Linked DNA regions of Caenorhabditis elegans. The protein of the gene in region 2 interacts with the protein of the main gene of each other region in a pairwise test. Each region holds a gene or a part of one and is shown on either strand. Other genes may lie near its edges.

Evidence for each region. The genes of interacting proteins can lie anywhere in the genome.
Region 1: the proteins of B0001.7 (region 2) and lir-3 interact in a two-hybrid assay, tested with the Caenorhabditis elegans proteins (one large-scale study listed by BioGRID).

What each region holds. Positions count from the first base shown.
Region 1 is NC_003280.10:11,181,141-11,186,650, forward strand, and holds lir-3 (Transcription factor lir-3), read right to left. Parts: upstream 3,668-5,510; 5' UTR 3,667-3,667; coding exon 3,598-3,666; intron 3,548-3,597; coding exon 3,375-3,547; intron 2,930-3,374; coding exon 2,777-2,929; intron 2,714-2,776; coding exon 2,605-2,713; intron 2,557-2,604; coding exon 2,291-2,556; intron 2,104-2,290; coding exon 2,019-2,103; 3' UTR 1,935-2,018; downstream 1-1,934. Other genes in the region: bigr-1 (HAD family phosphatase), read left to right, coding at 521-769, 1,364-1,438, 1,487-1,573, 1,621-1,890; sfxn-1.2 (Sidoreflexin), read left to right, coding at 4,913-4,988, 5,481-5,510. UniProt on the Caenorhabditis elegans protein: Positively regulates the RNA polymerase III-associated transcription of small non-coding RNAs.
Region 2 is NC_003282.8:12,149,188-12,157,320, forward strand, and holds B0001.7 (Movement protein), read right to left. Parts: upstream 5,059-8,133; 5' UTR 5,056-5,058; coding exon 4,816-5,055; intron 4,773-4,815; coding exon 4,614-4,772; intron 4,570-4,613; coding exon 4,504-4,569; intron 4,458-4,503; coding exon 4,203-4,457; intron 4,144-4,202; coding exon 3,808-4,143; intron 3,759-3,807; coding exon 3,461-3,758; intron 3,341-3,460; coding exon 3,135-3,340; intron 3,083-3,134; coding exon 3,001-3,082; intron 2,952-3,000; coding exon 2,785-2,951; intron 2,739-2,784; coding exon 2,628-2,738; intron 2,582-2,627; coding exon 2,516-2,581; intron 2,461-2,515; coding exon 2,322-2,460; intron 2,270-2,321; coding exon 2,187-2,269; 3' UTR 2,005-2,186; downstream 1-2,004. Other genes in the region: B0001.2 (uncharacterized protein), read right to left, coding at 1-174, 222-915, 1,295-1,425, 1,480-1,651, 1,725-1,777.

The DNA.
Region 1 (5,510 bases), on a different chromosome or scaffold from region 2:
GATCTTTGTTGACTTTTTGAACATTTTGGTTTTGACCTTTTTTTTTTGAATTAAAAACTCCAAAGGTTTATATTTCTTAACGTTCAGTTCCAGCGAGGGAAATAGTGAAGAGGAAAAGAGAAAAAAAGAGAAGAAAAAGACATTTCATGGGGGCCTGGGGACCTCCACACTAGCATTTTGTTCTTTGCCCCACCATCTTTGAGAGTTCATCGGAACAAAACCCGTTTTAACTTTTCTCTCTTTTTCGTTCATTTTCGTGTTTTCTGCTGATATATATGTAACTGATATTATCGACGGTGGCGTATTTTATATTTTCTAGTGATGAAAGTACACTCATCTAGTCAGCGACAACGCACGTTTTGTCTGCGTCTGCCTGCTTCCGAATATGCTTAAAGACCAACTCGTTCAGTTTTGATGTCATTTTTTGTTTTAGTATTCAGTTTCAAGACTTTTCGTTTCATTTGAATTGTTTTTTTAAAATATTTTTCTCCTAAAATAATAAATCAATTTCAGTTTCAAAATGACTATGACCCAGCAAATTAAAGCAGTTGTCTACGATTTCGGAGGAGTTTTACTCTCTTATGAAGGTGTTATGGAGAAATGGGTTGCCATGTCAAGATCACTTGGACTTCCTGATGATGCTGTACACAGTGAATCTGTCGGAATTGAGTTTTCGCAGTGGTTGGGACCCGATAGAAGTCTTTTCTTGGGTACATTGACTGTCGACGATTTGGAAGGAGGTCTCTTTTTGCAGTATTTGAAGCATAAGGTAGGCGAGGTTTAATCAATTTTGAATTTTTAAGCGTCTCTTAAAAAATGAATTTTGACTTTTGTAAAACACTTTTTTGGCCAAAAATGTTTTTTAAAAATTATATTTTGAATTTTCCCGTCGAATTTTTTTTGAACACTGGAATTTTGATATTCCTGCTTTGTTCCCTAAATTTTTAAAAAAGTTTACAATGTGAATCTCGGGAAAAAAATTTCTGTTGAAATATTGAATTTTGAAATTCTCGCAAATTTTCTTGTGAGTCAAGTTCTAAATTTTTTCACAAAAAAATATGCATATTGGTACATGCGCCAAATTTTTCTGAAGTTTTGAAATTTCAATTTTTTTCGAAAAATACATGTAAATTTCCCCCAAGATTTTTTGGAGAATTTAAATCTGAACATCCATCAATTTTTATAAAAAAACTTGAACGTTCCATCGACTTTATTTTTTGGAAAAAATTTCAGAAAGATACAGCTGAAACATCGTTCCTACATTTTTAGGAAGTTTGAAATTCAAATTTATTGCAAGTTTCATGAATTTCCTTATTTTCAAAACAAAGTTTTTGAAATTTTTTCTTACTTTTTAAACTTTCAGTATGGAAACAAGCTGACTGACAACGTTGTGATAAAACCATTCACCGAGTGCCTTCGTGGAGAAAATGTTAAAATTGTAAGCTTAAAATGTTTCTAAACTTTGCCCTGAACCTAGCATTTTCAGCACAAAAATATGCAAAAAACCGTGGAAATTCTTCACAAGAAGGGCTTCAAAACCGCCATGCTGACAAACAACATGTTCTTAGATAAGGTAATCGAGTTCCTATCAATATTGAAAATTTGTTCAATGATTTTCAGGAGCACAAGGAAACCAGACTTCCATGCGATTTGACACATTTCGATGAAGTTGTAGAATCTTGTTTGGAGCATCTCATGAAACCAGACGCTCGATTTTATCATTTAGTTGAGAAAAGACTCGGAGTCAAACCAGAGGAAATTGTGTTTTTGGATGACCTCCATGAAAACATTGAAGCTGCAGAAAAGCTCGGATGGAACACAATTTTAGTAGAAGACATTGAAAAGGCGATTCATGAACTTGAGGGTTTCACTAAGGTTAAGCTGATCTAATTGGTGATGTATGTATATCTAACCGCTTTATAACTGCAATATAATTATCAAATTGTCACTTTTTATCAGGAATATAATAAATTGGAATGGTATCAAAAAATAAATAATTTGGCGATGAGAGCGATGAATCAGTTTAAGAACCCAGTTCTGTGAGCAAATTCAGGGAAACATTTTATCATTGCAGCATGCCATTCAGCTTTCATTATGTTGTCCCTGGAAAAATATGATTTTTTAAATTTGAAACTTCTACAAAAATTGTTCACAAATAATTTCATTTCAATTAATATTTCAAAGCCTTTTTAAAATAAATTGTATTGATTCTAGCAGCATGGGGATGTTTAGGTATTGTTTTAAAATATTTATATTTGAAATTTTGATTTGAAAAAACTCCAAAACTCACGTAATATTATGCGGCGGAATGTCACTTCCATGCTGCGAAACCGTATGTTTTCTCATCGTTGATTTTCGATAGTCCAAGTAATCACACTGCTTGCATTTATATTGTCTTCCAACACAATGAAGAGCAATCACATGCATTTGGAGATTCCATCGACCGCTTCTAGGCGTTTTGACTCGAACTCCACAGAGCTGACATTCATGGTAGTCGCCGACGGATTTGGCCTTTTTCGCGGCAGAATCCGAGTTGGAGCCAGATGGTTCGTCGTTCTGAAAATGAGGAATTGTGAGTCTTGGAATATAGAAAAAACTACTAACCGAGTTGACACCTATAGGCACAATTTCCGGTTCTCCACTCAACAAGCTCATCAGTTGATCTCTATACTCCTGTTCCTCGGCGTGATGATCATAACGGCGTTTGACACACCTGAAATCTTTTTTTTTTAATTTCTCGAATGTCCAGTAGATTTATTAAAGTAGATAAACTCACGGCTTGCTAGTAAGTCGAATATCCTCTTCCTCCTCCTCCTCAACAATATCGTCGTCTTCAATCGGTCCAACACCAACACTTGAAGCTTCCTGTCGGATGCCCGTAGATGTCACCATTGAATTCGAAACTTGTGAAAACGATGGAAATAGAACTCTGAAAATTTGATGAACTTAAAGTCGCAAATTTTATTTGTAAAAACTTTTCTGCTAAGTATTATACCGTATTTCCTCTAATAGTATTTCAACCAACTGATAAATTTGATAACTCAGTTGTCGTTTGTTTTATTGAAAAACTTTCGACTGACAAAATATTTGTTAAATGTTTTTCTATAGATTTGCTGTTGATTATTTATTGATATCTTTGAAATGAACCGAGATATAACTTTTTGAAAGACTAGTAGAGAATATACAGCAAATAAAGGCAGAAGGTGAGGCTTCGGAAATTTTTTTTTTGGCGAAAGAGAAGTTTTCGACAAAATAAAACCTTTTTTATTGGTTCTTTTAAGAGTGAATTTTTCTGAATTGTTTGTGAAATATAAGGTTTGATCTCAAAAATTTCCATTTTTTAAATAAAAAATATTTAAAAAAAAACCACCTACTTTTGCTCATGCACTGGATATGGAGAATGTCGAGTTTCAAATGTGACAGGAGATGAAGCTGTTTCACGGAGTTCATCTCTTGAAATTCTTGGCTCTTCTCTCTGGATTCTGTCGAGAGTCGGGTGTCGCGAAAGATCGTCCAACAGCATGAATCGAGCAAATCCATTTTCTAGCTGAAACTTTTTTTTTTCCAATTTAGTTATTTTTCACTAGAAAAACCCACCATAACTTGAACCAACTGAAGTGCTCGCTCCTTTGAGTCTATTTCTACTACGAGAAATTTTGGATCCATTCTGAGAAAAAAATTAGTTACAATATCTTAAAAGTCACGGAAGAATTCGGAGAAATATGAGGAAAAAAACCTTGAAAAAAATCCTCCCTTTCTTTCCAAATTTTCCTAAATTCTCGGCGAAAAATCAGGTTGAAAAAAACTCAAATAATTTCCTACTAAAATCCTACGGTAATGAATTTCTAGAAACAAAGAAAAAAAACTGAGCATAAGTGGCCTATAGTGATGAGATAATTCAGCCAGCAGGCAGCAGCATGCGGGCAGTCAACAGCAGTCAGCAGGCGGTCATCGATCGAAGGACAAGCAGTGCTGCGATGCAGGCAGTGAGTGGGGACTGAGAGAGTGTGCAAGATGAAGAGTGTACAGACATACGTGTACTGACGGACTGGGGAATTGGGTGGTGGAAGGGGGAAGGAAAGAGAGGGAGAGGCTGCGGAGACTGCTGTTTGGATTCAAATGCATAGCTGTTGGATTTTGCAATATATTGCAAAAAGGTGATGGGGAGATTTTAATAAAGAAGGTTTGGGTGGGGACTTTAAGAATATTGTAACTTTTTAAAGCTACCGTATTTCGGAAAATTTATTTTGCTTTATTTGAAAATTATTTTTATTTGACTTGGAACATCTGAAAAAGTGCACAAAAATTGCCGGAAATTTTTTCCGATAAATTCTCTGGTTTTTCAAGCAATTTTCGTATTGCTCGGCACTTTTGCAGTTGTTTCAAGTAAAACAAAAATTATTTTCGGATAAAAAGACTATTTTTTTATATTTAAGTTGATGGGTTTTTATCCTAAAATAATCTAGAGCACTAAAAATGCTTTAAAAATTATTTCAAAAAAATTCAAAAAATGTTTGCTGCAAAAAAAAACTGCCGGATGAAGCCAGAAAATTTTTGAAACTTTCAGTTCATTTTCTCTTCCTTCTATTTTCACAATTTTTCTGACAAATGATGAATAATCAAAGAGTTTCCTAAACAATTCGCTGCTGTACTTTTTCCTCTTGCCTTCTCTGAAACCAAAACTTCTGACTCACAATTTCCGTTTGAAAACGGGAGAGAGGAACTCTTTTTTTTCAGAAGTTTATATTTCAGTTTTTCAATTCTGAAAAATTATAAAATTTGGATATGAGACAATTAAAAATATATACATAAGTGCCACGTAAATCACGGTCTAACAAATTAAAAATAAAGAAACAAAAAAAACGTTACAAAACCACAGAACAATTCATTTATTAGTTCTCATTTGATTAAAATGAGTGAGCTTGTCAGCAATCTAAAGACTCGTCCAGATATATCGAAGCCACAATGGAGTCAAAGGACATATTACGGTAAGAATTCTTCAGGTTGCCAAAAAGTGCCAGCGAAGTTAAGACTGTTTAGATGGGATGTATCTGAAAGTTAATGTGCGGTGCATTGCAAAATTCTTGCATTTTTCAAAGTGAATAATAGCACATCGCGAAGCACATTGGACACCTTTTTCAATAATAGCACATTGGACACCTTTTTCATCGAATTATTCGGTATTTGGCTCTAGCTTCTTGCCCACGTTTTGCCCAAAACTATTAACGTTGATGAGAAATTGGCAAAACTTCGGCGAAAGTTGGGCAAGATTTTGACAAGACCTGGATTTAGGCTGCGCCAGATTTTGTCCCAAGTTTGATCAAACTCTTGGAACACTTTGGCTCAAACTTTTCTTGTGCCGCTTTGAACTTGAGAGACCCGAAAATTTGGAAACGCCAGAAATCAATAAATTACAATCTGATTTACTTCTGATTTTTAACATTTATTAACCTACATTGTAAAGAAATCCTCTTTTCCAGGTCGTGTCCGTCACTTTTTCACTCTTACTA
Region 2 (8,133 bases):
ATGCATGATTCCTGGTGGTCCCATTTGCCAGTTCATTGGAGAAGGTTCAGGTAGATGTGAATAGTTGATTTTTGGTACATTGGATGAATATTCCTTTTTTTCGCTTGAATTATTAATTTTTTCTTCTGACTTCTTATTTTCTACATTTTTCTTTGGTTTTGATGGACGAGAATCCTGAAAGAAAGACTAAAAAATTGTTGGAAAATATCTCCATTACAAACCGTAGATGAACTATTTTCATTCTCCGAATCCCCCGAATCCTCCGAATCTTTTTCAGATTTTATGACATTTTTGAAAAACCAAGTCGCTTGTTTTCCGTCACCGGCTTGGAACAATTTTCGGTGCTTGATCAATACATCGACTTTAGATTCACTGGTAACAATTTTTTTGCTAATTGCAATAGTTCCCAGGAATCTATCCTCGACAGATTGTCCTTGAACGTGTCCAGCCGGAAATTGAAAGTTTCTGATTTTCACTTGTGGTCCGTTGCCGGCCCATGTTACAGAGTAATTTTCGATTTTTTCAATTTTTTCGAAATGTTTCACATTGAATCTCGGTGTATCTGCAGTTGGATTTGATGGAAAGTATTTTACGAAATCTTTTTTCGTAAACCGAATTTCAACCCAATCACCAATTTGTAGTTGACTCTTTTCGATTATTCCGTCGGTTCCTGGATATGTGAGGTTGCAAGTAACGAAAACTGCGTTATTTCGTTGATTTTTTCCAGTAACAACTCCGATAATATATTTTGTGTATTCTTCTTTCGATTTTGCTTCAGATTTTTTTGCATTCGATTTATTCTCTTTTCTTTCAGTTAGAACACCCGCCGTTTTGGAGATCACTTCTATTTTTCCATCCGATAATCCTTGCCAAACGAACTTCGAGTATAGACCGATACGTTGTTCCTCTGGCAATCTGAATAAAAAAATCAAAAGTATATTAAAGTACGACACAATACTATCAAGATGCGAGATATTCATCAAAAATACGGCTAATGGTCCCGACAGGACAAATTTCTGTTAAATGCGAAAAGTTGTGCGCCTTTAAAAAGTACTGTAGTTTCGAACTTTCGCCGCTGCAAAACTTTTGCCGATTTTTCGATAAAAAATATAAGAAATCCGAGAGAAAAACCTTGAAAAATCGATGAAAATTTCAACGCTTGGATCCTACAGTACTTTTTAAAGGCGCACACCTTTCGAATTTAGAAAAAACTTTTTCGTGTCAAGACCGGGAACTGTATTTTTTGACGCAAAAAATCGAAAAATCTCACATCTGAGTGATACAAAAATCTTACCTAGACACAATAATATTATGGTTTGTTCCAGCCTCTCCTGGAGCCTGGCCTTTACAAGCAACATCTCCAAATTCTTTCGTTTTATAAAATGGAGCAAGTCCACTAGTTAGAACTCCTGTGTCACCGGATACCTGAATAAATAATTAATAAAAACAAATATTTAAGAAAATTAAGCTTTTACTAACCTCAACAGTATCTGTTCTCACTTCAGTTTTTAAAGACCTGAACGCATCTTCCACTTTTGAATAAGAAATCGGAATATTATTCTCAACATTGATTTGGCAAAAGTCTCCCAGAAAGATCATGTGGATGTTCAGAATATCTTCGTTAACATCGAACTCGATTCCATCTGTTGGACTGAAAGTTGAAAATATTTATTAAACCTAATTCGAGAAAATATTATTTTATTTAGAAAAAATAGCAAACTCACGAGACTACGGCGACTTTCCCATTTGATTTTCGTTGTGCGGCTAATCCGAGCATTATTTATGACTAAAATATATTAACGGTCAATGTTTCAAGACGGGAAACTTTGTAATAGAAAACAGGACATCTGGGGGCGTTTTTTAATCAATCGGCAATTAAATAAAGTGAAAAATGTTTTGCTTCACTAAACAAAATTCTTTCTGGCCTCTCAATGCTCTCAAGAAGATACAACTTTCCGGTGGAAACGGATGGTACATATGAACAGAGATACAAAGTTTAATAAGAAACTGGGAAACTTTTATAAAATACAACAAATACGGGGCGCGATTAATGCGCAAGTTGGACAGAAACCGTGAAAAACTCGGCACCCGGCAAGTTATAAAGAACACGTTTTCAGGTAGGGAGATCTGTCTCAATATGATTAAATAACATGCAAAACAGAAGAAAAAGTTAGTAGTCATCATAATTATTCATCTGAAGGTGGCGTGAGACTTTTCAGCGGAGGAGACGTCGATGATTTTTCAGAACCGGAGGATCCTTTTTTCGAGTCTGAAATTAATTTTTTGTTTATTTATAGTAGCTAATATAGATAATTGTTTACCAGTTGATAAAGCTGCTGAACTCGAAAATTGCTTTGAGGCTATGAACGATCTGTTGAAAGCATTGTGAGGATTGTAGTATTCCGTTATAATAAACGGATTGCTCTGAGCAGAATCAATAATCCATTGATATTTGTGAGTCTATAATAATATTAATATAAAACTTTATTATCTTTATAAAAAAAATTCAACTTACCGGGCTTTCCGTTTGCGTCACTTGAATTTTCTTTCGAAGAATAACCACACAATATATGGCTCCTGGCTGTAATAATTAATTTTATGTTTCGAACGAAACGACTTTATCTTACAATGGGATTTTTGATAATTCCATCAGCATCGAAAATTATCGGAAAGTTTTTGGAAGTGTATGTGTTTCTGTTTAACATGTCCTTTGATTTGTAAGACACTTGTTCCTCTATCTGAAAATGAACCGAATTAAAGTTATCATAATTTCTGAAAACATACAAACAACTGAAACAGATCGATGCGACAATTGAATGGTGAAAGTTTCTTTGTTCCAGATATCCATTTCCATCGAAATTGCAGATGAGCCGTTTCCTCTTTCTTCTGGATCAGCTTCACATACGCATAGTCACCAACATTCAACTCAAAATCATCGAAAATGAAGTGAACTGAATATATTCAATGTGTTCAAATAATTTTTTTTCTGAAAAGTTATACCACTGGAGTTATAATTATCAAAGAACCATAAGATTCCGGTTTTCGCATGAGCCATAATCTTTTCGACGAGCGCATGACCTTCCTGAAAAAAGCAAAAAATTAATTTCGAAAAAAAATATAGGCCTAGAGCGAACCAATGATTCTCCGGTATATGACGAGAATTTCTTCGGTTTCGGTTGGTACTTCCGAAGTTGTGTGGAATTATATGCTGTTTGAATTTGAATGTTGTTTCCCATGTAATAATCTCGACGCTGCTCCTGATAATGGGGATTTTGATGGGGCTGTTGATACTTCAATGTAGTCACTCCAGTATTGTTTGTAATAGTTCCTGAATTAGAGGCTGTAAATGAGACATCATTATTGGAAATAAGCCATGGAATCTTAACTAGGTCTTGAATAACATTGCTTCTAATTCATGTGATGAATCGAATTTCACATGAAATCTGTCAAATTTACTTACGCTTTTCTATAGGAATGATGTGAGAAGTCTCCATGGCGTCTCGTTGGGAAATTGCCTCGATTCGCACGCTCTGCGAATTTTCCACCATATTTTCAGCGCCGCTCACAATGAGCGAATAGATTACTCTCCAGCAAACTCCACTCATTCTACGGATTCTCGATGATGTCTTCTCCAGGACTATCTGCATGAACGCTCCCGAAATTAAAGACGATTTTTTATCGATGACAGGTCCAAACATTTGTAATTCGAACAACATCGGATGATCGGTGCTTTTCACCAAAATACATGAAATCATGACCTAAAAAAAATAAAATAATTAAAATACATTTAGGATAGATTTTTCTCACTCGAACAATTTTACCACATTGAACAACACCGACGCCACACGGACTGTTGATGGGTAAATATTCTTGAATGCTCAATCGATATCCAGATCTCGTGCTCATATACTTATCCAAATCTTTTGACTGCACATCAAATTGGATCCATTGGCCTACTAGCGGAGACAACATTGGACTGTCTACTTCTCTATGTTTTGGTGGCTGCGGAAATTTCGCCGTATGATCTGCTTCCAAGGAAACCTGTGGTGACCAACAATAAAGATAATTTTTTTGTGGGAACACTTCTGTTACGAATCCGGCGTGACGAGCGATAGAGTTAGACGGCAAAGGGGGTGATTCATTCTGAAAAAGTTTTAATACTTTAATTTTGAAATTTCTAATTAATCGAATGTGTGTTAAACCTCTTTGTTGTGTCTTTCACGAATGAACTCAGCAATTTCTCTGAGATCTTTGTCACTGAACTCGCCATCGGTCTGAGCTTTTCCATCAACCACCGACATTATCCAACTGCAACCGCGTAATGATCCTCCACAATACTGAACTATGAAGGAAACGTTATCTCTATTGTCCTCTAAGTACTGCCGATAAGCGCTGGATCCGAGCACACGGCCAAATCCAGGAATCATGTACAGCTCCGCCGTGAGATGAGGATCGCGCTGAAAATTTAGTTATTTAAAAATGGAATTATGACCTTGCACTAACTTCGAAATATGACATGTTGCTATATGGATTCACAAGCGGGACGACCACTTCACTATACAAAACCGTCTGAAAGTTTTGCCGTCAATTGAGCGAAACAGTTCACGTCCAACCTTTTCATGACAAAGTTCTGAAGCCTTTCGTTTCATAAATACAGTTCCATATGATACACTCATCTCGTAAGCTTTGAGAATCAAAGGCCATGGTGAACATGAAGCAACCGTCGCGTCAGGATATAAACCAACAATCATCCAAGTGCCCAATGTGAAATTCTGAAATAAAAATTAGAGAACTCGTTTATTCAACTTCACTTACTGAGAATATCGGTGAATTTGATCTTGGAAAAGAGACTTCTACACAGGAAGTGAACACCCAAACTCCAATTTCTGTTGTTGTGTTTCGAACGACAACTCCTAATGTATTGATGATTGTTGTCACTTTCCTTACTCTCGGTTGTGGTGGCGGTTCGTTAGATCGATCACTTTGTGTGGCAAAAGTAACCACACACGGTTTTTCTTTGCCCTTCGGTAAAGAGGGAACTTTTGTTCCCGACATTATCTGAAAAAAAACGATAATTTTAGCACAAATCTGAAAATTTAAAACAAAATATGGGTTTTTAAATAGTTTTCGCACATTTTTTTGCAATTTAATTGATAAAAAACCATTTATAAATCAACCTATTCGCGTTTCAGCGAAAGGAAACAAATGAAAATTGAGAAAATAGGTCACAAAAATTAGACTGCTCGCGGTGAGGGTCTCACAGCGAAGCAATTCAAATTACAATTCATGCCATGCGCCTTTGAAACTACAGTAACCATTAAATGCATTCAAAGCGCTTTAAAAATTGTAATTTATTTAAATAATTTTAAAATTCAAATCTAAGCAGTAATAAATTTTGAAAATTGATAAAGTTTAAAAAATTAACTAGAAAACCATAATTTTAGCTTAAAATCGGAAAATTTACAACAAAATGCGGGTTTTCAAAAAGTTTTCGCATAATTTTTCGCAATTTGAATTAGTAATACAATTTTAAAATTCAATTTTTGCAGTTTCAGCGAAAACAAACCAACAAAAATGAAGAAATTATGTCACAAAAAAGATTTCTCGCGGTGAAGGTATCGCAGCGAAAAAGTTAAATTTTAAAATTATGTCATGCGCCTTTAAAACTACAGTAACCTGTAAATGCATTCAAACTACTTTCAAAAAACATGTTTTTCTTTAAATTTAATATTAAATTCCATTTTCTAGTAATAATTTTTTTAAATTTAAATTCTAATAGTATATTTTTTTAGCGGAAAAAAAAACTAATATGAGTAGATATATATATATATATACCAGCCGATGACCGCGCCTCCGGCGCGGCCAACGACTGGCGGAGTTTAAAATGTATAACACATAGATGTCCTTTTAATCATTCAAAAATATATCATTAAAAAAGTTGAAACTTCATCGATTAAATCGCATTTTCTTCTTCCATGGTATTCGATTCAGAAAATTCAAAGAGACAGTTAGAATGTTCTGATTTTTCTACACTCAAAATTATAAAACTGCGTTGCGTGTACGCCAAAATAGTCCCCGCCTTTTTCTCGTTCACTCACGGGGAAAAGGCAAAAAGCGGTACCCCAGGTAATATCAGCATCATTCGAGGTCCGCGCACCACACTATTTTTCTCACTGTTGGGGTGGCGAGCTGTCCCCCTCCCCCGAAAAAATTCCACAGAGTTACAGTTTTTTCAATAAGTTAATAACTTTCCTTAACTGGAGAAGTCTGAATAATTAACTACTAATAGTAAGTTCTTTGAATATAGATGTGACGAAACAAATAAAAACTCCTACAGTTATAGGAGGTTGTAGAGCATTTCAGAACTTTTTTGAATTTTCCAGATGATTCTAGAACATTCTAGAATTTTCTTGAAACTTCCAGAAGGTGCTGAAACAAAAATTGATTCCAGAACCAAAATTGGAATTTCCCGCCAAATGTTTTCCTCAGAAAATTTGAATTTCCCGTCAAAATCTTTTTCTCAGAAAATTTGAATTTCCCGCCAAAATTTTTCTTGGAAATTTGAATTCCCGCCAAAATTTCTTTTCTCATAAATTTTGAAGTTCTCGCCCATATTTTTAAGGGTCCCACCACGATGGGTCTCGCCAGTTCGAGGTGGTACTTAAGCTAACAAAAAGTTTCTCAGAAAATTTGAATTTCCCGCCAAAAATTTTTTCTCAGAAATTTTGAGTTTTCGGTCAAAATTTATGGGTCTCACCACGAATGTTCCAGAATTTTTTTCGAATTTTCCAGAAGGTTCTGGAACTTTCCAGAAGGTTCTGGAACTTTCCAGAAAGTTCTGGAACATTCCAGAATTTTCTCGAATTTTCCAGAAGTTCTAGAACATTATAGAATTTTCTGGAATTTTCCAGATGATTCCAAAACCAAAATTGAAATTCCCGCCAAAATCTTTTTCTCAGAAAATTTGAATTTCCCTCCAAAAATTTTTTTACTGAAAATTTGAATTTCCTGCTAAAATTTTTTTCACTGAAAATTTGAATTTCCCGCCAAAATTTTTTTCACTGAAAATTTGAATTTCCCGCCAAAATTTTTTTCACTTAAAATTTGAATTTCCCGCCAACATTTTGGGTCTCACCACGAAGGGTATCACCACGATGGGTCTCACCACGAAGGGTCTCACCACGATGGGTCTCACCACGAAGGGTGCCACGCCCACTATTCTCACTGAAATTCGGGCGTGACGTCACAGACTACAAAGACTACATAGACTACAAACTCCGGACAGACGAACTGTATTTTTTTTATATATAGTTAATGATATATATATGCATGCAATGGGCAGAAATATAGAATTTGGTAAATCAACGTCAGCATTAAAAACTGAATAAAAATTGTGAATACGTTTATGATAGATTGAAACGCACGTTTTATGCTTTGGATGCATGAGGACGGAAGAGTATTTCAAATATCTGAAAAATAATAATTAAAATTATTTCTATCATGTTTCAATAGATATTTCGTGATAATAATTTGTTGAAAAATGTAGATTAATAGTGCTAAAAATTGAAACTTAGGCTTAATCTTATGACCACAATTCTTTATTTCCAATTCCCACTACTCTCGCGCATTGTGTCCGCAACTTCGCTCCACAGAACGTGGTAACACTAAATACTGAACACACGAAATATAATAATTCACATATACCAACGTACAACTTGAAATGTGATATTTATATTCAGAAGGCTAGATCATCTTGTCTGAAAGTTATCTAAATCCACACAAAGAAATAGAAGGTAAGTCGAAAATCTACTACTCAACATTTTTATAAAAATATCGATTTTTTCGTATCCACACTCTTCCTCAGAGTCACGTGACTTTGAAAAGGATATTCAAGGTTTTGAAACTGCAAAGCTCAAACTTTTCCCATCTAATATCTCTCGATTTCATTGTCGCAAGAATACCACGTCTTCCTTCTTCCAATATGATTTATGGCCGTGGTCACAGAAAATTCTCGGGTACCTCTCTTTTCTAGGACCTTTCTTTCAAACAGCCGGCTGCGTTTACACATGAGATGGTTAGGAGAGGTTTCTAGGCTATCCAGGAAAGCAAAAAAACGCCTCTCACTCACTAGTC